Arabidopsis thaliana: one gene and its partners. The protein of the gene in region 4 purifies or fractionates together with the protein of the main gene of each other region. This does not show direct contact. Each region holds a gene or a part of one and is shown on either strand. Other genes may lie near its edges. The genes, in order: PAF2, PBB2, AT1G62020 and RPT1A.

Region 1 (6,969 bases), 2.7 Mb from region 4:
TCGTCATCAAACTTATTACTGAATTGTATTAAAATTGCATGCATAACAACAATAAATCATGTTTTTTAACACTAGCACATACGTCATGCGCGACGTGTCGTCAATCTGGTGGATGGTTAGTGATTCTCCTTTGTTATATTTATACGAAACATGTTGTTTCTGGCCTTTGTTCCACCCCTTCCCCCAATGCAACATTGGAACCCGTATATAACACTATCACCGCATTTAAGGCAATGGATACATATCAAATATTTTCCTACGGACTCTTTACATTGTCAAATCGCAAATAAAATGTGCCGACTAGATTATATAGCAAGTTGCATACTAATGATTACTGCTATTACCAAACATTTCATGTAATGTATGATCTCTACAAGTTGATACTTTGCCGAGGCTATAACCCAATACACAATTTCCAACTCAGGCCTATTCTTTTCATACCGCGTTTGCATATAGGAATTACATGAGTTGTTTTTAAATAACGTTCTATTTTACAGTTACCAATGACCTTTTTATCTGTTAGTCTTCATTAAATAACTAGTCGCATACAAAGTAAACATCTCTATATATATGGTCCGTTTTTGGCATATCTAGTGATATAAGTTAGGGTTTAAATATCAAATGCATCTGTAATTGAAAGTATGTGGTTTATAGAATTAAAAAAAAAAGAAGGAACAAATACATATATATATATATATATATATATATATATATATATATATCGTGTGTTTTATAAATAAAGCGGATTACTCATTACCTACGCATGTTTACGTTCTCATTAGTAATTGAAATCTATAAGTTATGTGGCTCATCCAGAACAACGCCATATATAGATGGCGTGTGTTTTATAAATAAAGCGGGTTACTCATTATCGTGTGTTTTAAATGCTACTCATCTCTCCTGTTATATGTGGAATCTTTTGCTACGAAGTAGGGCTACAATATATTAAGACATTTTCCGCAACAGTGCTTACAAGCTTTTAAGCCACATAATATTGAATAATTATGATTTCCCTCCAAACTCTCGAAGGGCTGCTAATCGATGGAATCTGTCGCTTCTGTAAATGTCGCATCAAACATATAACTGAATTGTATTTGAATTACATGCATAACCACAATAATTCATGTGTTTTAACATTATCGCAGACGTCATGCGCGACGTGTCGTTTATCTGGTGGATGCTTAGTGGTTATCCTATGTTATATTTATACGAAACACGTTGTTTTTGGAATTTGTTTCACCCCTTCCCCCAATGCAACATTGGAACTCGTATATAACACTGTCGCCGCATTTAATGCAATAGATACGTATCAAATATTTTCCTACGGATAGATTTACATTGTCAAATCGCAAATAAGATTTGGCGACCATATTATGTAGCAAGTTGCATACTAATGATTACTGATATAACGAAACATTGCATGTAATGTATGATCTCTATAAGTTGATACTTTGCCGAGTTTATTGCCCAATACACAATTTCCAACTCACGCCCATTGTTTTCATACAGCGTATGCATATAGGAATTACATGTGTTGTTTTTAAATAACATTCTATGTTACAGTTACCATTGACCTTTTTATCTGTTAGTCTCCATTGAATAACTAGTCGCATACAAAGCAAACATCTGTATATATATATGGTCCGTTTTTGACATATTTAGTGATATAAGTTAGTGTTTAAATATCAAATGCATCTGTAAAATCTAAAAGGTATGTGGTTTATAGAATTAAGAAAAAAATGAACAAATACATCTATATATATCGTGTGTTTAATAAATAAAGCAGGTTACTCATTATCTACGCATGTTTATGTTCTCATTGGTAATTGAAATCTATAAGTTATGTGGCTCATCAGGAACAAAAACATATATAAATGGCGTGTGTTTTATAAATAAAACGGGTTACTCATTACCTACGCATGTTTATGTTCCCTACATATAGACACCTAGTGTCGGAACTCACGAGTTCCCGTCTATTTTTCCAGGTTATTTTGGTTATTTTACACCCCAAGAAAAAACTATTTACTAAAGTTTTCTGACGTATGACTATTTTGCTAATTTGTATGTCGAATTTGGCTAGTTAGCTAATTGACACAATTTTAATACTCTTTGTTTCCAACCAAATAATACAAGATTTTATCAAAAACAAAATATCAAATTAAAAATCTAATAACATGTGACTTTATTTGTTTAGATTTCTAAATTAATTTTATTCCAAACCAATTTAAACTACACATGCTAAATTATTAATTTTCATAAAATTAGAAATAATAAAATACAATAACTTGTAATTCCCTCTAGTCCATGAAGTTTGATGTTTTAAATTTTACTTTTGTTTCACAAAAGTTGATGTTTTAAATTAATATTATTTTCATTAGTGATCAATAGAGAAAGGAAAAAAAGTAGAACTGATATTATTAAATTAATTAAAAAAATAATAAATGAATTATAAACACGAGAGGGAGGCAAGAAAAAACTACTACAACAAGAGCACCATCATCGGAAAATACTTCATGGAGAAAACCGACAGTTTCTTTTGTCAAGTGCAATTTCGATGCGGACTTACACAGGAATAGTACTTAAAGTACGGGTGGATGGATTATACGAGACCATGAAGGGATAGCAAACACATGAGGATCTTCAATTTTAGATCATGTCAACACTCTCCTAAAGGCTGAGACGAAAGCGTTACTTGTGGCGATGCAACAAATTTGGATACAAAAATACAAGAAAGTACAATTCCAAAGAGATTGCGAAGTCCTCATTAAAACCATCAATGGCAAGTCTAATAGAAGTAAAATTGCTAATTTACTTCTAGATTTAGAGTATTGGTCTTCAGATTTTCATCTATTGTATTTACTTTCACAAAACGTCTTTGTAATAGTATAGCTCACCATTTAGTTTTCCTAATTTTACGATTTTTGTGTTTTAAGCGGACTATTTTGCTTCCCCAATTTTTACGATTTCTGTGTTCAAAGCAGACTTTAGGAACGAGCCAATTTGGTTCAAAAACCTTCTCTGTAATGATCTACATTCATAGATTAAAACATAGTTTGCAGTAAGAAAAAACAATAAAAATAATATAAAAGTTATTTTTTTTAATTTGTGAAAAATCCAAAATATCATTGTTTTAGGATCAGAGGGAATAGTAAATTTATAATCAGTGTAGTGAAAAATGTGTAAATAAATAATGTAAAACCAATTGAAACTGCAAATGTTAAATTATGAATTAAATTAATTACTATAAAAAGAAATAATATAATGCTAAGTATTTATTTATAAAATTATAATCCTTTTAAATGTGTAAAAAATAATAAAGAGTAATGGATAATTAAACCCAGCCCATTAAGTTTCATAAGCCCATTTTACTCTACTGTCTTCTTTCTCTTTTTTTTGACAATCTTTACTTTCTTCTTCTAAGCTCTATAAGAGAGACCATCCTCCTCTAGCTTGAAGCAAACGAAAAGCTTTTGAAGAACAGAGGAACAAGAAGAAGAAAGATGTTCAGGAACCAGTACGACACAGATGTGACAACATGGAGTCCCACAGGTCGACTATTCCAAGTCGAATACGCCATGGAAGCTGTGAAACAAGGCTCCGCAGCAATAGGACTCAGATCTCGCTCTCATGTCGTCCTCGCTTGTGTCAACAAAGCACAATCAGAGCTCTCTTCTCATCAAAGGAAGATCTTTAAAGTCGATGATCATATTGGTGTTGCTATTGCTGGTCTCACTGCTGATGGTCGTGTTCTCTCTCGATATATGAGATCTGAGTCTATTAATCACTCTTTTACTTATGAGTCTCCTCTTCCTGTTGGTCGTCTTGTTGTTCATCTTGCTGATAAAGCTCAGGTAAATTGAGATTTTTGGGTTAACTTTTGAATTTTGACCTAGAATTTGCTAAAGGGTTTAGTTTTATGATGTGTGAGTATCTGAAAGTTTGAAGCTTTATGTAATTGGAGTAAAGTTTAGGTTTTTATTAGCAATGTGGCCAATTTTATTTGTAGAATGTGTGTGTTGTTATGCAAGTAGTGATATTGGTTTGTGATCAAGTCTTAGTGATTGGGAATTAGAGATTCTTGTGTTGTTAATCATATCCAGTTCTGTTGCTAGTTGCTTAATCCGATTAGAAAGAGTTAACCTGTATACCCACTTTGACGATAGAAGTGTATAAGAATGTGATGATTTTGGTCGTTTGGTTGTTTCTGTGTTGTCATCGTCTGTTCTCTTTGCTTGATAGAGTTGTTTTTGCTTGCAATTCTAGAATAAATATACGTCTTTGTTGATCTCTTTTTGGTTTTGTGGTTTTGACTTGTATTACTTTGCATTTGTTTACTTACTTGTAGTTGTAGTATGTCCTGGCCACTTTATTTACTTGCCTAATGAAGTATATTTTCAGTAAGATGTTGGTTTACAGTTGTGATAGAAATTTGTGCTACATGTTCACTACTTTTGGTGTTAAACGTAGTGTTCTCAAGTTAGATGATGTGTTCACAATTTTTAAAAGGTTTGATTGCTACGTCCCACTTACTTTCATGTCTGTCAAAAATTAAGTTAGCTGCTGTATCTACATTTTCAATTGATTTCTGAGAACGTATTGATATCAGTCTTGTAGTTTGAACAACACTCTGATTTCATTCAAATGTTAAGTCATTTGTTTGTCTTGTATTAAACATCTTCATAAATTATCTTTGAGCAGGTATGTACCCAACGATCATGGAAACGGCCTTATGGTGTGGGTTTGCTGGTAGGTGGATTGGACGAGTCAGGAGCTCACCTCTACTACAACTGCCCTAGCGGAAACTACTTTGAATATCAAGCATTCGCTATCGGGTCTCGTTCACAAGCTGCGAAAACCTATCTGGAGCGCAAATTCGAGAGCTTCCAAGAATCATCAAAAGAAGATCTGATAAAAGATGCTATTATGGCCATAAGGGAAACTTTGCAAGGGGAAACACTGAAGAGCTCGCTCTGCACTGTTTCTGTTCTAGGAGTCGATGAACCATTCCATTTCTTGGACCAGGAAAGCATTCAAAAGGTGATTGATACGTTTGAGAAGGTTCCTGAGGAAGAGGAAGATGCTGGTGAGGGTGAGGCCGAACCCGAAGCTGCTCCTGGTGCTGCTGGAACTGGTGAACAAGGTGGTTCAGGTGATCAAGATGTTGCACCAATGGAAATTTGAGCAAGAGGGAATGAGTTCAAAGTTGGATTTTCTAACCAATTTTCTTGTGTGTAGCTCTTTGATATGTTCCAACTTCCAAGTACAATTGTGGTTTTTATTCGGCTTTGTTTATTTAACAGCTTGGAACAAGGAGTTATTGAGTGCCACTAGCTTATGTTTAGTCCTACTTAAGTCAAATCTGTCACATGATAATAATAATCGGCGAATCGCCAACCTAGAGAGTGTATCAAACAGACACCATTTTGAATGAGAGAAACAGCGAGAGAAAGAATGAAAGATTAATCCAACTTTGTTTCTCTTTCTGCAAATTGTTCCTCGAAGAAATGACTTCATAATGCAACCATACATTATTGAGCAAGGATGATAAATCTCCTGCTTGCTCGGAAGAAAAGTTAAAACCAAAATAATATCTCTCTTGACCTTCCAGAGAATCAATCCTGTCTTGAAATGATTTCAACACACAAAAACAACCTGAGATTGGAATTAGAAGTACTGAGTAGACGGAACCTTGGCGACGGGTTTACCACCTGGTAAGACATTGTCGGGAAGAATCAACTCCGGTGGAGTTTCACGGGTAATCCCAAGCATTGAATCGTAATCCTCGTCCTTGCGTGCATACTTCTTCCTAAGCGCTCTCTCAACCTCGATCTGCTCAAATGACTTTGAATTCTCTGAGGCGTGAATCTGTGCGAGATTGATGTAATTCTTTGCTGACTGTGAGATGTATACTATCTCTTCATCTGTTAACTTTCTCATGAACTTTGCTGGATTTCCTCCCCACACCTGCCACATGAAACTGATAACTTATAGATATGTCCTTGTAAATATATTCTCAGGTTGACGGTTGAAGAAAGTAGTTCAAAAGCATAGCGATATAAGAAATCCGTCTAATTCCTCATAAAACATTGGAAACACAAGAACCCTCTGTTACTCCCAACTCACCCTTGTTTCATATACAAGTAGAATTGCAACGGAAACAAAGGTGGTTCTCAGATTTAGACGATATATAAATACTATTTACTCTTCTTTTTGATCAAAATATAATACAATTTACAGGCATATCATTTCATTAACTAATTCTGTATCAACTAAATTGTAAGCAAAGCAAAAGTGGATCTACTTGAAGAAGTTCAGCTGGTCAAGCCTTAGCTACAGGTCAGCGTAGGACTAAATGCAGCAGACTACAGCTGCTATTACTTGGTTAATTAGCAGTTCGTTATTAGGCTTGGTAGAGCTTCAGGGTCCGTGATAAGTAAACCTAGCTAGAGTTCTATTTTTGGTTCTTGATACTTTGGATTTTCTCGTTCAGTTTAGTGAGAAATAAAGCAGTTTCCAGTTCCAGTCTTATCACAAACTCCGTAAGCAGTAAACCAGAAAAGATAAAGTGGAAAGAAAGAAACCTCTCCAGAAGGGATTCGCGTGTTCTGTTTCACAAGAGAACCAGCAGCAACCATGGCATGTTTCTCAACCACCACACCATCAAGTAGTGTTGCTCCCATACCAACAAAAGCATCATCCTCAACAGTACACCCATGAATGACAGCACTGTGACCTGCTCCGTTTCATTTTACAAACAAAACCTTTAACTAACAATCGTGTAACACAACATAAAAACAGATACTTCAAAACTGATAAATCGCTTTTTAAGGTTTACCTACTGTTACATTGTCCCCAATCAGAGTAGGTAGAACCTTGCCACTTATGTTGGTCTTTGCAACATGTACAAGCGTATTATCTTGGATATTCGTCCCAGATCCAACACTGATGTTATTCACATCACCTGCACAA
Region 2 (7,437 bases), on a different chromosome or scaffold from region 4:
GCTAAATCTAAAAATTAGCAATGTTATCTTCGTCGTTTATAGTATAAACGTTAGAATTTTTGTTTCTTATTGTAGGTATTAGCTGATGTGATCAATGTAGAATACTACATGTACAAGCATTTGAAGGTAATCAACAAAGGATCAATAGTTATGAAGTTTATTAAAATGACTCTATTTCGGTGCAATAATATTTTTGTGATGGAAACAGGTGAACAGCGTCAACAAAGTGAAGGTGGAGAATCTAAAGCATTTGTGTGAACTCATAGAGAAATGTTGCACCAAGGATTTGAGGCTAGAATTAGGAGATGGTCGAGTAATAATCTTGGATTATCAGTTTGCGAAAAGTTCCACTTCTTTGATTTTGGAACGTCATAGAGTACCATGGGCCATGTCCAAAGATCTCATGACTGATCAATCGACCACTTGTTCGAGTACGAGATTATATTAATAGTATAAATTGAATTTAAGGTTCCCTAAACATTTGACCAAAAAAAAAAAAAAAGGTTCCCTAAACATTTACCGCTTCGGTTTAGAACCAGAAAATTTGTAATGTGTTACTAATCAGACCTAAAATGTCTATTGGTTGCGTTCGGTTAAATTTATTCGGTAAAGCTATCGTTTACACCAAAACAAAATTATTGAATACAATTCGGTTCGGTTCAATTTTGTTGTCCACGAATAATAGAGAGAGTCTATGCTTCCTTAAGCTTAAGTGAATCGGTGACGATGATGAAGGAGAAGGCGAAAGAAGGGAAGAGTCTGTTTGGGTCTCCGACGTTCGTTGATCTTGGAAACGGACGGCTCAGATGCGTCGAGACTGGTCACGAGGTTTTAGCGGGAGACGTAGAATCATACGCTCGTAACAAACGGTGTCGTTTAGGACTCATCAATCACGCTTTGTCTCTAGGAAAGCCTCCTCTCAACATGTTCTCGCAATGCCCACTTTCTCGGTTAGTCAAATAAGTTTCTCAAATTTTTGTGTGTTTCTGGGAAAATCAGATTTTTTTAGTTGGGGGTTAGGTTTATAAGAGTGTAAGATTGAATCATCCACAAATTCTACTAATCTCACGATTCAAGCTTTAATTTTGGAGGGTTATGATGTTTCTCTCTGTTTTGATTATTTTGTGAAACTTCGATTGTTTTCTGAGCAAGAAAGGATGAAACTTTCACTGTTTTGAGAGCTAAAAGTTGTGACTTTGGATTTCTCTAGAGTTTCAGATTGTATTAGCTCAAGTTTCGTTTAGATCCTTGCTTCATAGTTTCTGCTACTAGTAAAAAGCTGGTTAATTTTGTTTTTTCTTTAGACCACTGAGGAGCATTGGTTGTTAATTTCAGTCAGTGTGGAATACATTGAAAATGGTTATAAAAGTTATAATCTTTCTTCTGATTTTGAGCCTTTTGGCTTTGTTCGCAGCATCGAAAATGGTTTAAAGTTGTAAGCTTTCTTCTGGTTTTGCCAGTATTGAAAATGGTTACAAGTTATAAGCTTTCTCCCTGCTTTTGGCTATGTTCTCAGCTCGAAACTTGTGTGCAAGCTAACTGGAGATACTGTGAACAAGAACGAGGAACATATCTGGAAACACGTGAATGGGAAAAGATTTCTTCACAAATTAGGTCTATAAAAATTGTTTCTCCCATGATATCAGATTCATTGAAATCGTGTAATGAATCTTAGTTAGTATGTCTTGGCTTATAATGTTTTGATGTTGATAAATTTGATAGAGCAAGTGGAAAGAGGAGCTGGATCAAGCGGAAGGACTGAGGAAACACAAGTAAACAATCCAAGACACAATAAGGAAGATTCTGGTTCTGAGGAATCCGACTTTTGGATGCCTAAGTCAAGTTCTGATTCAGAGTTAGATGAAGAGACTGATGAAGAAAACTGTAAAGGTTGCTCTCTTTTGTTTTTTGGTTCTACTGTCATCTCATATCGAAACTTTAATTAGATTTGCATCTGATTTGGGTACAGGTTCTCATTGTGATGACAAAGAATCTGAAGAGCTCTCAGAAAGGTACATTACTATATTTGCTCTTCTCTTTTTTTACAATCATCCTTTTGATTGTGTCTCATAATAACTCAATTTGGTCTCTTCTACAGAACAAAGAGAATGTCACTAGAGATTGGACCAAGTAGCTTTGCTTCTAGGAAGAAAAAGAGTAAGAATGATGAGTTGTCTTAAGATGTTGTGGACAAAAAAAGAAAGAGCACAATTTTGTTTGTAAGAAAGAGCTCTTTTGAAAATTATGTGAGAGCTAAATTTCAAAACCGAATCATCCATAATCATTAATCACAAGTTCAAGCCAAATTTAAAGACGAAATGGAGGCAACTACGATTCGATTTTAGTCGTTCATATTGAACAAAGTAGAAAATGTAAACATGACTGTCATGTGAGGTAGAACAATGGTTTCACTCTTAGTATCTGTCTCTCACACGAGATTCATTCCTCCATAGCTTCACCAGCCACTTCTACAATTTCGACTCGCTCCAATAATGGTGTAATTTTGGTGAGTAGAACCTCTGTTTTCACAGAGAAACAAAAACAGTAAGAAGAAGAGGAAGATCGAATTAAACCAAGTTTAACACTTCAATAATCATGACTGATACCAGAGACGAGTAAGTGTTGCAACAAGTAGATTCTTACCGGTTTTCTTGGTGAATGAATAGCCTTTGCTGCTAACATAGGTTCTTGGGTTTGGTTCCATGTAATTCCTCAAGTATTCCTTGTGCCCCTGTCCCAAAATCATCTCAAACAATCAGTTTCAAATCGAAGATATAGGTAATCCAGAGTACTGGTTTTGTAGCGAATCACTTTGGTTTAGCTTAATATCTGTCAGTCATGAAGCAAACGAATTTCTAGATACTTCAGTTATCTATTAAAAGCAGAGGAAGATGGAGTATGACAAACCTTAGTGATCACACAGATATCCACATTGCTACCACTACCAAGGTCGTTGAATATACCAGAGCATATGGCTTCAGCAACCAACTTGATTCCTTCATCTCTCTGGAAGATTTGAGTCAATCATCAAACAAACAGCCAAGAAGAGATCTAAACAACATAAAGATAAATGTCTCTGCTTTACTTACAGTTAGACCTTCTTTATACTTTGCTTCAAACACTGACATGGCAGCAAGGGAACCAGAACCCATTGTAGCAAATGGTAGAGTGTCAGTAGAACCGTGTGGGTATATCTGCATTTTGACCAGAACATTAGAGATGGAATACAAAATGAAAGAACCTGAAAAAGGCTTTCTACAGCTGAGAATTTTGATCAGGAATTTGAAACTCACCGTGTGAAGATGAGGCCCGGTAATATCAACTCCACCAAGCACAAGAGCAGCTGAGACATGGCCTTGGTAGCTGAATGATACTTGAGAAGTTAAATTATGTATGCCTATTAGTAAAGATAACAATTTTCTGAGCATGGTGAAGCAAAAATACCTGAAAAGATGTTTTTTGAGAAGGGTCAATGCAGTAACGACTCGAGAATCTCGGCCAGTCTGGTATCTATGCAACCGCAGCTGTGAGCTGACCATATCTGAACAGTGAAATAGCAATCAAAATAACTTAAGCATTGGGTTTTGATCGAGTTAACAGAAGTTCCGAGAAATTCAACTTTGATCTAGGGTAGCAGTAAAGAAATTTGGAAGTTAAGAAAATTACCAGTTACTGCTTCAGTGTCAGCAGCGGTTCCTGCACCACAACAGTAAATGTTTGGTGCCATGTAGTGAATCTTCTCACAGTTCTTATCAGCCACAATAGGCCCTTCAGTTGCCCGTGTATCAGCCCCAAGTATTACACCATCCTATACAAAACAGATAAATGAAATCAGTAATCATCTAAAAGAGAATGTCACATCATAATCACATGTTTCATAAAATGTTGTAGAATATAGAGGTAAATAGACCATAAAAACATCAACGTGATGTCATATGGTCAAGGGTTGAGAAAGCAACAACACCTCAGACTTTCATGTTATCTTATCTAAAGCTATCAGGTGCCCAATTCACTGATAAGCAGCCATCCACAAACACAAGTTCAATCACATTTGCATCTTAGCCCACAATTCTTAAATCTTAGGTCACTATGTTCACTTCCATAGTTCCATAACTTGCAAACAACCAAAATAGAGCACTCACTATCCAACAATAACACTATGCTAACCATTCAAAAGCTATAAAAGAAAACCCAAAACCCATTACATTGTAGAGAATGTGAGATAGAAACAAAGACCTTAAATATCAATCCAACGATAGTCGTTCCAGTCTTGAGAAACGACGGCGCTTTAAGACCCTTCTGTGTCAGCATATCATTCCTTTTGCACAGATCGAAGCTAAACCCACCTTTTGGCGGTATATCGACGGAAGACTGCGACATTTTCCGATTCACCACTCTACAAAATGAGGAAAAATCAAATCATCACCCAAACAAAAAAAAACGAGTAACGAAGTGAAATTTGAATCTTGAGAAGCAAAATTCGAGAACCAAAGCTAGCTAGCTGATGATACGAAACCAGAAGAACAGAGTGTAGAAACTAATAATCACATACTAACAACAGATTTTTTGAAAACTCCTGAAATAAAATCAACTCAAAAAGTTGGGATCGAGATCGCTCAAGGATAGGTAAAATCGTGTTCGAATCACCAAAATCGAGAAGATAGAATCCAGGGAGACGACAGTATGAAGAATAAAAGTGAAAAATCTAAGCTTATAGAAGAGTGATGTTACCTTTACTTGAAGGTTTTGCTGAGAGGAAGGAAGCTCGAATCGGAGAAGAAGAAGAAAGCAAGCAACTTTAGCAGAGAGTTTTCTTCTTCCTCAATTAAACTATTTTTGAGGCTCTATTATAAATGGGCCTATCTTTACTTTAATGGGCTTAACTTCTGTCAAAATGAGCCCATTTGTTAACTCCCTAATGATTATGTGACTTCTAATTGTGTGTGTGTTTTTCTTGACATCATCACTTCTAATTGTGTGTTTGCATTTGCAAGGTCTGGATTTGTTTGTTTTTTATTCAGTTTTGAGATCAATTTGATTTTACGAACAAATAACATTGACAGAAATATAAAATAAAATGTAATTAATACTATATTGATAATATAGATATAATTAAATCTTAAACTTTAGATTTTATTTTACCATCCGTTATTAACACATCGATAACACTAACACAAACTACTTTAAATAACCCCAAATCTCACAATTTCAATACTTTATTCCCAATATTTTTAATCTATAAGTAGGGGTGATCCAATACTTATATATTTTTCCTATAGTAATATAAAATGGATTATGGAACTTGAAACATAGTATGCAAAGGTAACATGGTTACAAAAACGAAAGCAGCAATAATCGTTCAAAAAAAAAAACTGATAATTCTTTTATTTCAGATAACAATTTCAAAGAAAAAAACAACAACAACAACAACATGAAAAGTTTGCAGGAGCAACAACAACATAAATCAAGAAAAAGCAACAAAAAGAAGAAAAACAGACACAAGTAAAGAGAATTTGAAGAATCCCAACTTCTTCGAATTAGATGCAATTGAGAGCTGCCTTATTCGCCTTTTTCGAAATCAAAGCACTTTGCATCGCCAAATGCATCTCAATCTGCATCCTCTCCACTTCTCTTTGAGCCTCTAACATTGCAGCTAACTCCGAATTCATCGAGTTTTTACTTCCTTCTCCTTTTTGATCTTCTTTCTTTGCCTCTTCCTCTTTCTTACATGAGTGTAAATGCGTAGCGTAATCACATTCCTTGCAATAATACGACCAGAGATTATCCGGTACAATGTCTTCACAAACATCGCATTTGGAAACTAAACCGGGTTGGTTATAAGGAGAACCGTAAAGAAGAGTAAGTGGATGTGGGTGATCTTCACGCTTCACTGTTTCAGGCATTGAAACACATCCGACATGTACATCGTACTGACAGATTGAACAGTTGTACGTGAAACTTGATCCGTATTCGCCGCAAGCATTACACGTGTACGTTGACTTTGGGGAATAGATTAAAGTCAAAGTGTGGGGTTGGTGAGATTTGTGGTTGGTTTCACGTGGAAGTTCAAAACATGACTTGTGCAAGAAGTAATCACAATCTGATGACTTTGTGCATTTGAAAGCTGCACCAACCAGATCGAGATCACAACCGGAGCAGATGATTTCGTCTTTGGCTTCGCATTTGTGACCGCGCAATGGATGGTTGTGACTCGGGTGCCTCACCGATTGTCGTGAAGACATTGTTTTATTCAATGTTCTTGATTTAGTATTGAGAGGCGTTTTGTTTGTGTTTGTGTTTGTGATTGTAATTAGCTTAGGATTTCAATCTATTTATAGCGTTAATGGAGAAGACTTAGTGATATTGAGTCTTGGTTTTGAATTTGACTATCAAACCAAGTTGTAGTTTATAGTGATTAACTATATAATTGGGAGAACAATGTCACGCTTTAAGTTATATATATATATAATATATTATATATTAAGTATATAACAAAATGGTTCATTTGGGATTCGAAGTCAAGAAATGCATTTCAAAGTCAAGAGATGCATTATGCATGGAATTAGTTTGCGATCTTGTTCACGCATCTGAGTTTTTTTTAAATGTTATAACTATAATTAGCTAATTAACCTGTTGAAATTCAAGATAAATCAAAATAAATATTGTTCTATCATTAGCAAGTTGGGGATAAATACATTAACGTTGACATAGTGACGGATGTAAAAGTCAAACTAATCACAATGCTTTGACTCTAATTAATTAAGGCTGATATCCACCGTCTACTCCTTCGTTTCGTTTCGTTTCGTTTCGTTTCATACAATAATGTTTTTTGGAATGCATACATACTATATTGTAAAATGATTGAATTACACTTTTTTATAAGAAATGATAAAAAATGATAAAAGAATTGGTGGAGATACAAAAATAAGAGATGCTCGAAATAATAATAGAATTGTGAAAACAAAAACAACAACGCATTAAAATAATATGATTGTTTTATTAAAATCATAAATATATATATATATAAAAAAACAAAATATAAATTAACATATTTTAGTTAGTTTATATCTTTGTAATCGATTCGATTATGTTACGCTCACAATCACAAGTTTGAAAATCTTCGTGTGGGATGAATCATAATGGATCCTGTAATAGAAATGTCATAATAAACAGATTACGGAATCCTTGATTATTGATATGGTTTCCTTAGTCAAAAAAATTAGAATCACTGGGGAACAGTAATGGAATTCAATCATGCAAAAATAACTTGTCAATTTATGTTAATATTATGTAAGAGATCCTCATGATTCGAATTGTGATTCATTCATGTAGCAGTTTCACCGATGATCTTATGTGTTATAAATTAGATTAATATTCAGACAAGGTCACACTCACACATTGACATTACATACGATCAAACTCGGTTTCTTACGGTAC
Region 3 (9,463 bases), 2.9 Mb from region 4:
TTGGTAAAACATTAAGTCTTGAGCCAGAGCCAGAGCTTATATCACTCATCCGTAAAATAGTCTCCCTCGTCATCTCTATGGATCCAAAGTGGAAGAAACTTATTTCCTTATGTCCTCAAGTAGCCGTAAGATTGGAAAATGGTATATTACACGTGGATGAAGAATTCGTGTGGGAAACCAATGACAAGTGGTGTTGTTTCCCTTTATTCTGGCTGAAGTTCAGGTCACCAGAACAAGATGCTACCCATTTTTTCTGCCGAGGTTGCAACGGCAAGAACCATAACGAAAACAACAAGGCTCCAGTTGAGATCAAACACCCTCTTCATCCAAGACATTCTCTTCGGCTTGCTTTGTTGCGAAAGTCTAATGAAACGAGGCAGTGCTATTGTTGTGATGTAAGTCTTCAAGAGATATTTTATTATTGCTCAGCTTGCGACTATGCTATGAACATAGCTTGTGTGGAGAAACCTCCGGTCTATTCTATAGACCATTCCAAATGGCATGAGCATACTCTTGCTCTGTTTCCAAGACAGACTCCCTTTGCTTGCAGCCTATGTTCGTTGACACATACAAGCTGTCCTTTCTATATATGTCCCCCTTGTGACTTTGTGGCTCATCAAAGGTGTATCAGCTTACCGCGTGTCATAAGGATATCTCGCCATCCTCATCGTATCTCTTTTAACCATTCTTTTGGTCAAGGAGATTGGTCTTGTTGTGTTTGTCGTAGAAAGATCGACAATGATTACGGTGGTTATTCTTGCATCAAGGAAGGTTGTTCATATGTGGCTCATTCAAAATGTGCCACACAAAAGAACGTGTGGGACGGTAAAGAACTTGAGGGAATACTAGAAGAAGATGAAAAAGTTGAACCGCCGTTTGTGAGGATAAGTGATCGAATCATCGAGCATTTTAGTCATCAACATCATCATTTGAGACTTGATGAGAACACGGGTAGAGATTACGACGTGAATAAGTTGTGTCAAGCATGCATCATGCCAATCTATTCCGGTAACTTCTATTCATGTATGCAATGTGATTATATTCTCCACGAAAAATGTGCAAATCTCTCTCGCAAAATGCATCATCCGATACATCCACATATGCTCACTCTCAAAGTAGGATCTCGGGGTCTTGTGGAACATAGTGTTGATCCATGTTCAGCTTGTCCTTGGAAGTGCAAAGCCGGTTTCTTCTATGAGTGTGAACAACAGGATAAAGATGAATATCTTTTCAAGCTACATGTGCAGTGCGCCACAATGTCTGAGCCATTAGTCCATAAAAGTCATGAACATTCTTTATTCCTAACATCGAAACCAGAAGAGCAAAGAAGATGTTCCGTTTGCAAAAAGTTAGAACAGTTTTCAACAAACGAAACATTCAATTGCATTGAGTGTGACTACTTTGCTTTGTGTTTTGGATGCGCCACTTTACCTCAAGAGGTAAGGTATGAGCATGATAAACATATGCTCACTCTTTCTTATGGCGAGGAGACATGCATCACGACTTATTGGTGTGATATTTGCGAGCAAGAGATAGACCCAAAGGAGCGGTTTTATACGTGTGGTGAGTACTGTTGCGTCACCCTACACATTGAATGTCTGCTTGGGCAGGATTTATACGTGAAGCCTGGTTCATCTTGGATAAGCTTCTCCTTCAATGGAGAGAAGATATATGTTCGGGCCAACGATCATCATATGACTCGACCTATTTGCTCTCATTGCAAGAAGCGTTGTCCACACAAAATAGTTTTGGAGTCGTCTGGTTCAAAATTTTGTTCCACATCTTGTGTTGGTTATTTTTTGTCTACAAAGGTGAACACAGCTGGTCATCGCGAATATCTACAACGGAGAGGCTACGGAAATTATGAGTTCTCAGCACTGACGTAGAGATTAGTGTTCTCTGATGTGTCTCTGTTTTTGTGTTACTATCGGTTTAGTTGCGTCGGGTTCTGTCGGATCAATCTTTTTATAAAAGCTCGATTGATAAAACATGCAAGGAGAAAAAACTATTTAGCAATCAACATGTTACAGTGTTATCTTTCCCTAGAACTACAGTTAGTTGACTAAACAATTTGGTTTACTATCGGTTCAATTAAAAAAATACATTGGACTTTATCGGTACATTTCGTTGTAGATAAATTTGTAATTAGGAACGACACTCACAAAATTCAAAAATTTGGAGAATTTATAAAATCATAATTTCACAAGTAAACCATAATTTCCGAAATTGAAATTACAAGTTATCCAGTGCTACTATGCATCAAAAAGAGAAATTATAAAGCAAGAAGCTAAAGTTCTCATGTGTACTAAAAGATAAGAAACAACTTTTAAAAGAGTAATAAAAACCTGCAACGAGAAAAATCCTCAAACCTGATTGGTAAGTACACAATCACAAAAACACCAAAAGTTCAACACTCTTATTCTGTTAATAGAGCATCTCTGTATTGATTATGAAATCTGAAATTGATCACCGGACTTGAGATGGAGAGCATAACAAACCAGATGCGTCTGCGCCAATCACTGCTAGATCACAGACCGTGCAGATGTTTCCTTCCTGGTTTGGTACAAACCGGGCGGTGCAGTAAGGACATGAGACGTCTTTCTGTCCTCTGTAGATCGGGACATATGTGGAACCACATACCACAAAAGGGTTCCTGAAGTCGTAGTTAAGCTTTGTTTCATCGGTCATGTTACGTTCAGCGGCTTGCACAACTTGTCTAGCCATCTTGGCTTGGCTATCAACTGGGCTTGTTTCCAACAGTCTTCTGGCGAAATTAGAAGCAGTGGCGAGGTTCTTTGCCTTGTAGCAGACACCCATTGCACTAAGCAGCGCAAGCCGTAAGTGAGGTGTTTGGAGGTTGCAGTGAGTGAAGTAAGCAGCGAGCTCTTGCTGCCTCACCGGATCATCTTTCATCTCTCTCCTCTTGAGCTCCATTTGAAGACCAAGGACATATTCTTTAACGATAACGATTAATTCCTTGACCTCATCCACTTCTCTTCTTGTCTCGACTACCACTAGAGGGATGGTGTGCAGGATAGAAAGGAAGAGACGGAGAGCCTCAGTGAATTTCCCAGTTGTTGTAGCTTTGTAGCCGGATTTGAGCTTCTCGTCTAGCTGAGAGAAATCATAAACAAGAGCTGGTGGGCTACGGACGTTGGGACTGGAAGACTCGCTCCATCCACGCTCAATGGCAAGTGGAACCACAGGACATGAAGAAAAAGCACGCAGATAGCTATGGCTGCCATTGAACAGATCTAGAAACATCGATTTCAAAGGTGTAAAGTTCTTGATACCAAGCTGTCTGTGGAGCAGACGCATTGCAGTGTCGAAGCTTCCCGCTGCGGCTTGCTCAGCAGCAAGAGAAGATTTCTGGCTCCAGCTCTGACTTACGGGCATACCTTGGGGAGGTGTCACAAAAACAGATGAACGTGCATTAGCAGAGGCTTTAGGAGTGTCAAGCTCTGGTGGGAGCACCAAGTCTTCAAGTCCCCATCCACCTTCCTCATCGTTTTCTTCTTCACCTGCTTCTGCAGCCGCCAAAATGTCTTCAATATCTCTGTTCTCCATTCCATCAACATTAATGTCAAGTTCCTCACCCCAATCCCCTTCAACATCTTCTTCATCAACAGTACCTCCTCTGTCTGCACTCTCAAGTCCTCCTTCAAATATTCCTTTCATCACTCTAAGAAGAGGCCAATCACCACCACACATGATGGGTGTCGGTGGCATTAGAAGCGATGGAGTTTTTCCTTCAGGCAATGAGGGCACGTTGTCTCCTAACTCAGTTGCCAGTCGCTCAGCAATGTCATTTAAACCATGAACCGAAGCTGTGATATAAGCTAGAGGCAAATGACCAGCATTCTCCAGTATCTTAACACGCTCTTTAACATCTCCTAGGTAGAGAGCATTGTGAAACTGTCCCATTACGTTGTTCTTCACTTCTGCAATCTTCATCAACTTTGAAAGCTTGTCCAAATTTCCAGTAATGAGATAAAGAAAAGATAACCTCTCAAAGTTCTTTGTCTGCTGGTATGCAAACTCAACAATTCCAGAATTACCTTGGCGAAGAGCCTCCACTCCAAGTCTATACCAGTGGTCTTTCTCGTTAATCTGTGTAGCGGATGCAACAGCCACACTGATGTTGCCACTTTCAAGAGCCAGATTGAATCGGATCCTCTCATCTTCAACAAAATGGAGGGCAACTTCAGGGAATCCTTTCTGCTGCAGGTAAGCAATCATAGCCTGTCCACATAGCTGAGAGTTCTTTATCATGCTCATGACATGATCATATCTCTTCCTCAGCAGTGAAAGCTTGAAAATGTACTCGGTTGCATTAATGGTGATAGCCTTGTTTTTGCCATCCCGATCCAAGCAAAAGATTGTATTACCAGACACCTTGGTGATATAGATTGGGACATCCAGGGTTCGGATGATTCCACTATCTCCATTAGGAAGACAGTACTTGATATGATTCAAAGTTGTGTAAATGAAGACACCATTATCGTCCCAAGCTCCACTTTTCACACGTATCGTCTCATGAAGCGTGCACTGGAGAACAAGTTTTTTGCTCGCGATAATGATAGTATGTTTGCTGAGCAAAGCAACACTCTCCATATCACTGGACCAAACAACGTACCTAACAAATGGTGTCTGAAGCTCACCAAGAACAAGCCTTTGCTGGAGGTCAAAGATAACTACTTTATCCTCAGATCTACAAAGCAAATTCCCAGTCCCAGCATAAAAGATAGCATCTGTGGGAATAGGCAGAGGACTCTTTTTAACCACCTCATTCTTTAGATTCTTGACTAGCACTTGGCTGGTGCTTTTCTCGAGAACAGCAAATCGGTTACGGGCAATGAATACTGCAGAGCCACCTGTCCCTCTCTTTGCATCTTGCACAACGTCACTCCTGCCAACACTATCTTTCGGTATGATGTACAACTCATACGAACCACCATCCAGATCTGAGCAGATCAAAACTGCATTTTCAGTGGGACTGTATGATAGAGTCCTAGGACTTTGATTCAAGCTTGGAGTACCCGGACGCCGTATAGGGATAACTTGGGAATCCCTTTGAGTTGAATATTCATAGTACCGCAAGAATCTATCCTTGGCATAGAACAAAGAATCCCCACTCAAAGCAAATGCAGGACGTTCTCTCTCAAGCTTGAACACAATCATGCCACTGTCATGTCCTGCTGCTAGTAGATTCATCTCAGGGTGAACTGCAAGAATCCAGAATCTATCATGTTCACGACGGAAAGTCTGAAGTCCAGTTCGCTTGGTAGCATCCCAGACACGGATGCTCTTATCTTCAGAGTTTGATACAATTATGTCCTGTTTTGCATGGAACATAACAGATGAAACGTTATTCATATGGCCTCGCAATGTATCCACCTCCCAAGCTTTAGTTTCTGCAATGATATCGTTAAAAACATGTTACCAACTCGTCTTTGCAATTTCGAGATTCATCTAAGGATTAAGGCATGCAGAATATTTTCATATCAGTAACATCATTGACGATTGATAGCATATAAAAATTGTAAGCACAAAAGTATACCACCAAATAATTACCATTCATACGCCACAGCTTTACTTGGCGGTCATCTGCACCCGAGACAATAAGAGGCAGGGTGGGATGAAAAGCAGCCCAGTTTACACCTCTATCATGACCTTCAAGAACGTACTTGACAATGGCATCAACTCCACCAAAAAGATCACTATTCATCTGAGTCAACCTCATGATATCATCAGCAGGAGATACAGTCTTCTTCCTAAGAGCACCAATATCCCAAACACGAACAGTCTGATCTAACGAAGCTGATACGACGAGGTCTTCTTTCGGATGGAAAGAAGCACACATAACATAATGATTGTGACCAGTCAATACAGAAACACAAGTCCGTGATTGCCAGTTCCATATACGGATAGTTTGATCATCACTTGCACTCACAATCCATGGGTACTCATGATGGAACTGAACCGTGCGGATATAATCAAGATGCCCTAGAAGAGTGAAAAGGCACCTGTGGTTTTTGTAGTTCCACACTTTAATCTTGTAATCATCCCCTGCAATATCAAGATCAACATCATTGTAATGCAACAAATCATGTATAGATCCATTCTTTTGAGCTTATACGATTTCACTAACAATGATTCCGAATTATATATACCTCCGGAGACGAAGAGAGGCTGAGAATTGTGGAAATGAACACCACGAACAGGTCCTTCGTGTTCGTCGAATCTATCGATCAAAGTACCCATACGATAATCCCAGAGCTGGATCACGCCACTGTGCAAACTCGCGAGAATCCATGGTCGTTTAGGGTGAAAACTCAGTCCCTTAACTCTGTTACTTTTGGTTTCGAACTTTGTCAACATAATCTCTCAACGATAATGGCACTCTACAAAAACCAGATCACAGAAAAAAAAAAGCGAATCACGAACAATTAGAAATAGATCTAAATTGCAACAATGGTAGTGAGATCAAAACAGAAATTCGAAATCGTAAGGAGAGGAACAATGGTGGTTACCACAGATCAGATGAGTTTACGAACGAAGCGAAGAGGAAGAGGAAGAAGAAGAAGAAGAAGAAGGTGTATAGATCTGAGTGAGTCGCTATGCCCAGATCTCGAGTTCTCTCTTTTGCGTTAATTTGGGATAAAAACATGTATTCAGTGATGAATTCTATATATCCTTAAAAAAAAAAAGGATGAGTTCTAATCTTATTGGTCGAATGATGCAATTTAAACATATTTTTTCCTATTCTTTTTTAACGTCGAAGGAATAAATAATTACTCTAAATTATTTTCTGCCAAAAAAGCTCTTACGTAATTATTTTTTTATGTTTTTGGTCAAATTTAATTTAGAACCTTTGATTAAAACTAAGTTGTAATTTTATAAAAACCAAATAAAAATTAAACTGAGTAAGAAACAAAGTGAAGCCTATTAAAAAAAAAAAAACTAAATATTCATTCACTTGATTAAAAGACGTATATATTATCATCTATATCGTTTATTTTTAATAGATTGGAGCCTCAGAACGTCAAAAGTGATTTTATATATGATGAGCATTTCTAAATTTTTGTATACTATTGTTGAACATAAGTGAAAAATAAATTATGCATAAGATGAACAAATCACAAAAAAACATGAGAAATAATCTAAAAAATATTACGTCTCTATTTGTAATCACGGTTATCGAGTTTAAAAATCCAATTAGCGTAAATGTAATGTTTTCAAAAACATTGCAAAACTTGAAAACAAATTGATCATATGATTCTGAATGAGAGAGACCAATCAAACCTACACACAAAAAAAAAGTGATAGGCGGCCGAGCTAAACGCAGTTTAGGCAGCTGAGGAGGAGCCAGGAGGTAACAACAACCATTAGAGATCTAGTGACAGGTTCATTCACTCCCGTTCAATTATCCATCTCACACTTGCTCTTTGCATCAACTTATTTGCTATCTTAATAGATTCTAAAGTGTATTGATTCATGTTCAAAGAACAATCTTTACAAAAGAAAGGAAAACAGCAGAGAAGATAAGAAAAAGAGATATCCACGAAACATATAATGTATTGTTGTAATATAGACTAGTTAATGGTCTCCTTCTCCTTTCCTTTTGCCTTATAGTACCAGAGCTTGGTTGGAATAGCAAACCATGTAACCAACAAAGGAAGATGCTAGCGAGGTACAAGAACAATGCACAGTTTCTTGATATGACATTCCTTGGAGCAAAAACAGTAATCTCCAATACCAGCTTATCATCATGCTTCGAGACGTACCAGCTTTGATTAGGTTATAACTTGGGACAATCCTCTTCTCCAGCCTCTAGTTGCCACTGGTCAAGTCAACTTCTTTCATCAAATTACAATGCACTCAAGATAGCGCTTGATCATCATTATGCTGAATCCTAGGCCTATACATGTTTTAATGGAGCTCACTCGACACCATTGTGAAGTCATCATTATGTTGCAGGTTTGATGAAATTTGAAGCTTTGGAATCGGTTAGGAAGTGTAATGAAGACACTGTCTCCAACAGAAGGACTCAAGTGGAAAACGAAACTCTAGACTCTAGTGTTGCCCTCCTTGGCAAGGGATAACACTAAAAGACCTTGAATTGATTAACTACACCTATTTGCTTTATATAGATGGATCAACCAAATCTTTGTGGTTATGGATTCCATGAAGATTAACACTCATCAAACAAACACTAAAATTATTCATCCTCGGCTGCTTTACCACAGTGCTTCTTGTTAACAAATAACCAAAAATATCATGTAGTAAATAGTTGTCTTCTGTTTCTAGACTTTTAATGTTGAAGAGTTAAAAAAAGCTAGTAAAAAAGAGTTTAACAATTACAATTTGTCAGTCAGATTGCATACAGAGATGGATCAAGTAAATGGATTGGATATATCAATAGACTATAAAAGTCTTTTCTACTTATTTACCTTATTATAAATCCTCAACTAGCTTTTCTACTCTTTTCTACTAGCTTTTATAGTCTATTGATATATCCAATCCAAGAAGCTTGAAGATTTATAATCTCACTTGAAAGATTATTAGTTTGAGGCTTGATGGAGTTTGAAGATGTAGCAGAGACTGAAGAGTTGGAATTGGGTTGAACAAGAAGGTATGAAGTATACTGAAGACTCTAATACAAACTTAAGGACTCAAGTAGAAAAAGCAAACTAGGAATTTGAATAAACCGTTCCATCGTTTGCGAGTGGATCTTACTCCTCAGAGTTGTCTACCAAATCCTGCGAAACAGGAAAGATTTCTGCCACGAAACTAGTAAAATGAAATATATCATATGCTCTGTTTAATTTCCAAAACAGAACAAAGCACATCACAAAGATCTTAACCATAATTCATATCAACAAGACAAAGAAAGATAATTGTAAAGATTTTTTTCATACAAGACTGATTCATCATCCTTCAGGGTCAAAGGCTTAGACACTCATACACAAAATCTATTATCTACTTCCAAAAGTCAAGCAACAAGACTCACTAATGAATCTAAACCTAACAGAAAACAAAAAACAATCCTTAACGTTGCTCATTGTTCTAGGCGTGCCTTCTGATCGGTGAGTGAAACACGATTTCCGGTGAAGATTGCCATCAGCTCAGCCACAAGCTGCTTGTCATCATGTTTGCTAACATACAAATTTAAAAACGACTCACTAGTACTTGTCAAAACAGAAGACATTGGAGGGAGTTCACTTTCAAGCAATCCTTTTGACATGAGAACTTTGATAACATTACACCTTGGGACAGTCCTCTTCTCTAGGCTGTATCCAAGTACCTGAGGGATTGAAGCCACAGCCTTTACTGGCCAATTCATCTCCTTGACCAAAAACTCAGTCTTCTTCTTCACCGCCTCTGTAGAATATCCAATACACGGAGGAAACCGCTTGAACATCATCATAAACACATCTCTGCTGAATCCTAGACCTAGAAA
Region 4 (7,995 bases):
ACCTTATTACACGTGAAGCTGGTTTTTCTTAAACATTTATTAACGTTTGGTTCTTCTTGAATGTTCCTCAGGAACATTGCGAACAATGACTTCACGGGGTGGATCCCCAGTTCTTTAAAGGGCATCACATTAATGTAAGTTCTCATTTCACACACATTTGCTTGTTTCTTTAAACCTTTAATCTCACTTTTCTTGTTTCTTGCAAACAGAAAAGATGGCAACTCATTCAATACTGGACCTGCACCTCCACCACCACCTGGTACACCTCCTATCCGTGGCTCCCCGAGCCGTAAATCTGGAGGACGTGAAAGCCGGTCTAGTGATGAGTCCACCAGAAATGGAGATTCCAAGAAATCAGGAATCGGAGCGGGGGCAATTGCGGGCATAATCATTTCATTGTTAGTAGTTACAGCTCTTCTTGTTGCTTTCTTCTTGTTCAGAAGAAAAAAATCAAAGAGGTCATCACCCATGGACATTGAGAAAACCGATAACCAGCCTTTCACTCTTGCTTCAAACGACTTTCACGGTATGCACACATATACATTACATTTTGCCTTTGGAACATAATTTAAGATTTAAACAAAGAAAAATCAACTTAAGACTCCATATGGTTGCAGAAAACAATTCCATTCAGAGTTCTTCATCAGTTGAGACAAAGAAACTGGACACTTCATTGTCTATTAATCTTCGACCTCCACCAATTGATAGAAACAAATCATTTGATGATGAAGATTCGACAAGAAAGCCTATTGCTGTCAAGAAATCCACAGTGGTGGTTCCTTCAAATGTGAGACTCTATTCAGTTGCAGATCTCCAAATTGCTACTGGCAGTTTCAGCGTAGATAATCTTCTTGGAGAAGGGACTTTTGGACGAGTATACAGAGCTGAGTTTGATGATGGAAAGGTAAGATATTATAATATTGTTATGTAATCCTAATCTCTATGTCTCGAATGATGTCATAATGTTGTTGGAAAACGTCTTATCTTTTAGGTTCTTGCTGTGAAGAAAATTGATTCGTCTGCTCTCCCACATGGCATGACCGATGATTTCATTGAAATGGTATCGAAAATAGCCAATTTGGATCATCCAAATGTGACCAAGCTTGTTGGTTACTGTGCTGAGCACGGACAACATCTCGTGGTCTATGAATTCCACAAAAATGGATCATTACATGACTTCTTACACTTATCAGAAGAGGAAAGTAAAGCATTGGTGTGGAATTCACGAGTCAAGATCGCTCTTGGGACTGCACGCGCATTGGAGTAAATTCCATAAACAATTCATTGCTTAGCTCACTATTAAAAAAGAAACGAGTATTTTGGTTAACTGAAAGTATTGTTCTTGCAGGTATCTGCATGAAGTTTGCTCACCGTCTATAGTGGACAAGAATATCAAATCAGCTAATATTTTACTCGATTCAGAGCTGAATCCTCACTTATCAGATTCTGGTCTCGCAAGCTTCCTTCCCACAGCTAATGAGGTTGGATATACAAACGTTTCTCAAAACTCTTTACCATTTCTCAACTTATTTGGTTGCTTAGATCATTCTGATATGTGCAGTTATTAAACCAAACCGATGAAGGGTATAGCGCACCTGAAGTATCAATGTCAGGCCAATATTCTTTGAAGAGTGACATTTACAGTTTTGGAGTAGTGATGCTTGAACTTTTAACTGGGAGAAAACCATTTGACAGGTAAACTCTATTATGATCCAAACTAGGCTTGATGTATGTAGTTGAGAAATGTGTTTCTGTTTGAATCTTACAACTGGTTATAATTTGAGCAGCACAAGGTCAAGATCTGAGCAGTCACTGGTTCGATGGGCGACACCACAACTTCACGACATTGATGCTTTAGCCAAAATGGTTGATCCAGCTCTTAAAGGGCTTTATCCTGTCAAATCCCTTTCTCGATTTGCAGATGTTATCGCTCTCTGTGTCCAGGTAAACTAATGGTCACAAATCGAGTCTTGCAAATTCAAGAAAGTCTTTTACTGATTTTGGGTCTTGTTTCTTAACAGCCGGAGCCGGAGTTTAGACCACCAATGTCTGAAGTTGTGCAGGCTCTAGTTGTGTTAGTGCAGAGAGCTAACATGAGCAAGAGAACTGTCGGAGTTGATCCATCGCAACGTGCTGGTAGTGCCGACACGACCAGTGATTACATGTAAATGCCTCTACCAAGAGAAAAGACAAACACTTTGCTCCGTCGGATGTTAATCATAGACAATTGGAAGATAGAAAAAAGCAACCTCATACATTGTATAATCCCATTGTTTTATTGTAATTGTATGTTCCAAAGGTGTAGCTTCTAGATCCTTTACATGAACAAAATTCTTTCTTGTAATCTTCTACATTGGTTCTATTTGGGCTTGGTTCAATTCTTGATCATCAACTTGTTATCAATTTCAAAAGACGTGAATTCACAAAAAAAAAAAAACTTAACAAAGAATTTATGAATCCAAAAGTAGTAGACATTGAAGAAGATAAACCCGAGTTACTGGAATAAGTTGTGAAACAAGTACTACAAAAGAGCTTGAAGGGAAGAGACACAAACAAAGAACAAAGAGTGTTTCGGAGTTTTATTTCGGAGTTCTTCTATCTGTCTCAATCTCTCTAATTGTAGACCATATACTTGGGAGTGGCACTGAACTTTTGGTAACCTTTAATGACTTTGTTCACTGCGTCTAGAAAGTCTTTCTCAGTCACAGTCTTTCTCCTAGCTCTGATTGCGTACATTCCTGCTTCAGTGCATACACTTCGAATATCAGCTCCTGCAAAAAGACAAGATTTACAAAACCCAAAGTCAGAACAAATTCCAAAAGACAGAAAAGCTGTTTCATGGTCAAGGGATCATCAATACCCGTTGAGTTTGGGCAGAGGCGAGCAAGGAGTTCGAAACGGATGTCTCTTTCGCAGTTCATGGTTCTTGTGTGAATCTTGAAGATCTGTGTTCTGCTCTCCAGGTCAGGTAGACCAAACTCAACCTTACGGTCAAGACGTCCAGGACGTAAAAGAGCTGGGTCTAGTGTGTCAGGCCTGGATTGAAGAGTTAATACAGAAACACCAATGAGTCAAGCAGTATTATTGGGTTTTGTAGTTTACTTGAAGATGGTAAGAGGGAATCGTAACTGACCTGTTTGTTGCCATAAGAACCTTGATGTTACCACGTGCGTCAAACCCATCAAGCTGATTCACAATCTCAAGCATAGTACGTTGGACTTCGTTATCACCACCAACACCATCATCAAATCTTGCACCACCAATGGCATCAACTTCGTCAAAGAACACAATGCAGGCTTTCTTGGACCGTGCCATCTGAAAAGAGAGTATTATTATACAATTCAGAACAAAATATAGCAGCATTGGCTTGACAAACTCAAGTAGCAAAAAGGAGTGTTCACAATCAATTACCTGAAACAGTTCACGAACCATCCTAGCTCCTTCACCAACATACTTCTGAACAAGCTCACTTCCAATAACCCTGATAAAGCAAGCATCGGTTCTGTTGGCCACAGCTCTAGCCAGAAGAGTTTTACCAGTACCAGGAGGTCCGTAGCAGAGAACACCCTTGGGAGGATCTATTCCAAGCTTCACAAATTTCTCTGGATGAAGCATTGGCAGTTCAACAACCTGCATCAGCAAAGACAACAAAACATCTTACATCACACTAACTTAAGTAAGACATTGTAAGATAAGGAGAGGGGATATCAACAAAATTTCAACATACCTCTCGCATCTTCTCAATCTGCTCCTTGCATCCACCAACATCATTGTAAGTTACATCAGGTTTCTCTTCGACAGTCATCATGGTCACGCTAGGATCGATTTTGGGAGGTAGAGGAATCTGAATCTGATATTTATTCCGATCAACTCTGCAAGTATAAATCAGAGACAGAAAGTTCTCATAAATTTGTATCCATATGAAAAATTTACAACGACAAAAGGAATTGAACTGAAGCAAACAAAACATAGAAAGATACAGTGAGGAACAGGACATACCCAACACGCATGCCTTCCTCAATATCAGTGGGAGAAACTTTATCGCCAAGTCCAACAACAAACTGGAATTAAGAACCACAACTAATCAGTATAACCAAACATCAAATGGTTCGAAAACACATAATTGGTTATGCAGCTAAGGGATTTAATGTACCTTAGCAATTTGTTTGACATTTATGACGTATTTGGCGTCTTCAGTGTTTGGACTTATAATCTTTGTGCATCTCGCAACCTGGATAGAGAAAACGTCAACCCTTTAATCTCTTATAGTTACCATGAAATAAAAGACGATTCAGAGAATTATCAAAGAAAGAATATGCTTACCTGCAGAGGTTGCTCTTCTTGCATCATTTGCTTATCAGATACAAGATCCCATTGACTGGGAGGAGCTAAACCAGTATCAGACTCCTTGATACCTGAACCATAAAAGCAACCAATAACCCTTTTAGTCACTAGCTAATCGAAGTAAACCCAAACAATTGAGCAACAAAGAGTGTGCACATACCACATAGATCGTTGATCTTCTTGGCGAGATCCTTAATTTCTTTCTCCACTTTCTTGATAGGTGCAGAGTAAGGCCCTAACCCCTGCAGAGAATGAGATTTAACAAGGTCAGCAACACAACATATGGAGAGATAACAGATACAACAAAGCATGACTATGAATATTTCCACTTGGAATAAATTCAAACAGTGAGGCAGATTCACTCATATAAGTAGTAATTAGCAAAAAAAACTGAACCAAGTAGAAAAATCAAGCTCATCAAGAACATATCTAGCTCAGGAGGAAACATCAAATTGGTTTGCAAAGAGACGAAACCCTCACATTCGAGTAACTAAAATCTAGTGTAGATCCGAATTCTCCGATGAATCAGAAGAGTAAAAATCGAAAACCCCAATAAAACTTAGGGTTCTAAAAGGGGAAGGCTTACATAAGTCTTGAGGAGAGCGATATCATCTTCATCAAGAGGACGAGGATTCTTCTCGTCTCTAATCTCATCTTCAATATCTCTCACCATTGTCGCCGGATTTCCAAATCGGAGATTTGAGATTCCTAAAGTTGAGAGAAAATGGATTACGATTTATGTGTCTTGCTGAAGAGGAAAACAAGTTCTTTTTTCTTTTCTTTTTTCTCGAAAGGGTAAAGAAGTTCTAATTTGCGTTTAGTCTCGTGGTGACGTGATATAAGCTAAGAACCACACGTGCCGCTCCCACGTGTAAAATGGGCTTTTTAAGCGAGGCCCATATTTTCTGTCTTGTTGGAGAGGTCAGATCAAAATAATCCCACGTGCCAGTCAAACTAGGTTGAGCGAAAAAAACCGCAACCAAATCAACCAAAACTGAACCGAATTTGTTTGTTAACCATTTTTTTTCTTTCTTCTTCTTCTTCTAAATTCGGATAACTAAAACGAAATTGAAACATATACCCCTACCAAAACGGAATTTGCATCAAACTTAACTGAATTACAAATGGTTTTATATAGTTTCAATTATTAGATAAAAAAATTTAACTAAACCGAAACTAATCCATAAACCGGATTGCCTACAACCCTCACACGTGTAAATTGAGCTGTTAATTTCGGCCCATATTCGAGTTTTTTTTTGTTTTTGTATCATTTCTTTTTTTCCTTTTTCTGTGACTCTTGTTTTTTCCAATAGTTCTGAGAAAACTTATTTTTATGTTTAGAGTAACCTTGTACTCGTTCAAAATTCTCAACTGTTTCCAAGTAACAAAGAAGTTTTTAAAGCAACAAGGAATCAAAAGACAAAAAAAAAAAAGAATTGGAGCGTAAGTTATAGCTTCAAACAGCTAAAATTATGTTCTAAAAAAGAAGCCTAAAATGCCAAAAGAGTTAGACTAGATTGCGATATTTAAGAACATCGTTCTTATTGAGATCAAAGGATTTGCAAATCTCTATTATGGTCGCCTCGTCGAGTCCTTCCTCGCTAGCTTCACGAATTAGCTGATATAACTCTTCCGATGGAAGCAAAATCTGTTTATGAGTAAACAAAGACAATTAAGAACCAAAAAAAAAAACTTTTGATTTGAGTATCTTTGATGACAAATAGATCAGCTTACACAAGTGGGAGATTGAGATTTTTGTTCCGGCTTGGTGTTGCTGTTCTTGCTTTCATCTGCATCATCAGTTGAGTCTGGTTTATCAGGATTTGCCTCGTTTGAGATGAGCTTAAGCAGCTTCTCACTTCCCTGAAGTGTCAATAAAGATGATTTCGGGTTTATATAAACCTCTAGATAATGGAAGTATGTATCGAGAAGTTATGACAGACCTGAAGAGCCCGCCAGTGAGAATATGTGCGGAATAAGACCCAGAAGAATGGTATGTTTGGTAATGGCAATACCTAATTGGAAAGAACAAAAGGGTTTGGTGGTTATGAGATTCGATGAAAATAAACGAGTTAGTTGCTAAGGTTCTTGAGGGCTAGCTTCATACTATACATACCATAAATGCACTGGTCAATGGAAGCAAAGTAACTGAACCAACTAGGTACTTCTTGTGCAGGATTGTTCCACTGCAAATCCAATTAGAAAACATAAGTGTTAGAAGGAACAGGGATTCTGAATCTATTACACGTGAAATCGGATATAAAGTTTCATCATTTGAGACAACGGGTAGCAAAGTGATTTACCTCATGGCAATGTGCCGTAGTCTCCTGCGTACGAGTCTAGGATCTAAACTGAAAACATTTGACATGGATTAGCTAAAACGATAACCAATCCAAATTCACCAGAATATATACTCATGAAGACATTCATAAGAGAGATACTTATCCTCAAGTTTACAGAATTTCAAGAAAAGGAGAGTAAATAGAACCTCGGAGGATAAGTGACTTGTACAGAAGTGACCTCCTTAGATATAGACTTCAAGAAAATCTCAGAAGGCTTAACACGAGCCAGAAGCTTCAATCCAAACCTATACATTCCAACCACAACTTGACATTAATAAGCCTATCAACAAACAAAGACCAAAGCCTCAAGAAATGTCTCAAAATACAAAAAGGTAGAGATTTTACAAACCCATGAATCTTGTTCTTTATTGATCCATCAGGCGCTTTCTCAAGACCCACCCAAGCTTTATTCATCTAACCATTACAACAACAACAACAACATTTCTTCAAACTTAGTATTGGAGAAATCAAGGAGGAAGACTGATTAAAAAAAGCCATTCTTTTATCTCATTTCTAGTGGTCCTAAATGAGGTTCGTTGTCAAAAACCTTTAATCAGAAACAGAACCAAAAGCTTATTCATTGGTCGAAATGTTATACACCCAATAAATCTCACTAGACGCCACATAAACACACGGGTATGAATTCTATAAAGAGAAAAAAGTTTCAGACGCCACATAGAGACACGGGTATGAATTCTATAGAGAGAACAAAATTTCAATGTAATTTTACCTTGTCAGAGATGAAATCGACGAGAAGCTCTGCGTTGGCATTGATGGGTTTCGATTCAGATGATATCTTCTTCCATAAACCTCGTACAGTGGTCGGAGTAACACCAGACGGTGATTGAGCAGCGAAAGGGTCAACAGATCTGCTGAAACACCATTTCTTCCCTTTGATCGGAAAAACCACCAATCTCGCTCTCATGATCACTTAACTACGAAAAAGCTCCGATCTTTAGTTATGAAATGTCAATTTGTCATCTGGGTATTGCTTTAAACGACGTGGGTTTCGTATATTCAAAGGAAAAATCGAAACTTTAAGGTAACGAGACCGACAAAGCCTAAAATATTTCACGAGGAAAGACGAAAAGAAGCGGCGGCGCGTCTCTTGGCATATATGGACAAGTTTTTATATATAAGGGTCTTTGAAATCGACTTAAAATTTTGGTATAACAAAGGTTGTCTCTTTAAAAGGCAGTAATGACAAATGGTGTACTATTTGCAATCATGTCAAATGGTTAATGACAGATTAGAAGGCAGTAATAACAAATGGTTAGTACTATTTGCTATAACTGAAGCAATGATAAAC

What was found.
Region 1: the proteins of RPT1A (region 4) and PAF2 fractionate together in Arabidopsis thaliana (co-fractionation; one large-scale study listed by BioGRID). This does not show direct contact.
Region 2: the proteins of RPT1A (region 4) and PBB2 fractionate together in Arabidopsis thaliana (co-fractionation; one large-scale study listed by BioGRID). This does not show direct contact.
Region 3: the proteins of RPT1A (region 4) and AT1G62020 fractionate together in Arabidopsis thaliana (co-fractionation; one large-scale study listed by BioGRID). This does not show direct contact.

The regions. Positions count from the first base shown.
Region 1 is NC_003070.9:17,315,720-17,322,688, forward strand, and holds PAF2 (20S proteasome alpha subunit F2), read left to right. Parts: upstream 1-3,399; 5' UTR 3,400-3,500; coding exon 3,501-3,851; exon of another isoform or gene 3,852-4,698; coding exon 4,699-5,181; 3' UTR 5,182-5,483; downstream 5,484-6,969. Other genes in the region: GAMMA CA2 (gamma carbonic anhydrase 2), read right to left, coding at 5,665-5,964, 6,582-6,733, 6,836-6,961.
Region 2 is NC_003076.8:16,246,072-16,253,508, forward strand, and holds PBB2 (20S proteasome beta subunit PBB2), read right to left. Parts: upstream 4,855-7,437; 5' UTR 4,732-4,854; exon of another isoform or gene 4,489-4,731; intron 4,397-4,488; 5' UTR 4,381-4,396; coding exon 4,237-4,380; intron 3,809-4,236; coding exon 3,667-3,808; intron 3,542-3,666; coding exon 3,445-3,541; intron 3,364-3,444; coding exon 3,294-3,363; intron 3,195-3,293; coding exon 3,090-3,194; intron 3,007-3,089; coding exon 2,908-3,006; intron 2,732-2,907; coding exon 2,644-2,731; intron 2,520-2,643; coding exon 2,440-2,519; 3' UTR 2,215-2,439; downstream 1-2,214. Other genes in the region: DEG13 (protease Do-like protein), read left to right, coding at 76-126, 209-448; AT5G40570 (Surfeit locus protein 2 (SURF2)), read left to right, coding at 727-950, 1,415-1,435, 1,517-1,614, 1,723-1,890, 1,970-2,012, 2,099-2,180; AT5G40590 (Cysteine/Histidine-rich C1 domain family protein), read right to left, coding at 5,538-6,242. UniProt on the Arabidopsis thaliana protein: The proteasome is a multicatalytic proteinase complex which is characterized by its ability to cleave peptides with Arg, Phe, Tyr, Leu, and Glu adjacent to the leaving group at neutral or slightly basic pH.
Region 3 is NC_003070.9:22,916,732-22,926,194, reverse strand, and holds AT1G62020 (Coatomer, alpha subunit), read right to left. Parts: upstream 6,709-9,463; 5' UTR 6,534-6,708; intron 6,405-6,533; 5' UTR 6,382-6,404; coding exon 6,174-6,381; intron 6,070-6,173; coding exon 5,575-6,069; intron 5,415-5,574; coding exon 2,467-5,414; 3' UTR 2,171-2,466; downstream 1-2,170. Other genes in the region: AT1G62030 (Cysteine/Histidine-rich C1 domain family protein), read left to right, coding at 1-1,886; AT1G62010 (Mitochondrial transcription termination factor family protein), read right to left, coding at 9,062-9,463. UniProt on the Arabidopsis thaliana protein: The coatomer is a cytosolic protein complex that binds to dilysine motifs and reversibly associates with Golgi non-clathrin-coated vesicles, which further mediate biosynthetic protein transport from the ER, via the Golgi up to the trans Golgi network.
Region 4 is NC_003070.9:20,063,308-20,071,302, forward strand, and holds RPT1A (regulatory particle triple-A 1A), read right to left. Parts: upstream 5,194-7,995; 5' UTR 5,018-5,193; coding exon 4,931-5,017; intron 4,587-4,930; coding exon 4,505-4,586; intron 4,416-4,504; coding exon 4,324-4,415; intron 4,232-4,323; coding exon 4,154-4,231; intron 4,062-4,153; coding exon 4,000-4,061; intron 3,873-3,999; coding exon 3,728-3,872; intron 3,631-3,727; coding exon 3,412-3,630; intron 3,316-3,411; coding exon 3,134-3,315; intron 3,037-3,133; coding exon 2,861-3,036; intron 2,772-2,860; coding exon 2,614-2,771; 3' UTR 2,169-2,613; downstream 1-2,168. Other genes in the region: SRF6 (STRUBBELIG-receptor family 6), read left to right, coding at 72-134, 210-526, 618-904, 992-1,263, 1,349-1,481, 1,562-1,695, 1,785-1,944, 2,022-2,168; AT1G53760 (K+-H+ exchange-like protein), read right to left, coding at 5,852-5,992, 6,079-6,207, 6,288-6,359, 6,461-6,530, 6,648-6,695, 6,833-6,931, 7,036-7,100, 7,417-7,611. UniProt on the Arabidopsis thaliana protein: The 26S proteasome is involved in the ATP-dependent degradation of ubiquitinated proteins. The regulatory (or ATPase) complex confers ATP dependency and substrate specificity to the 26S complex.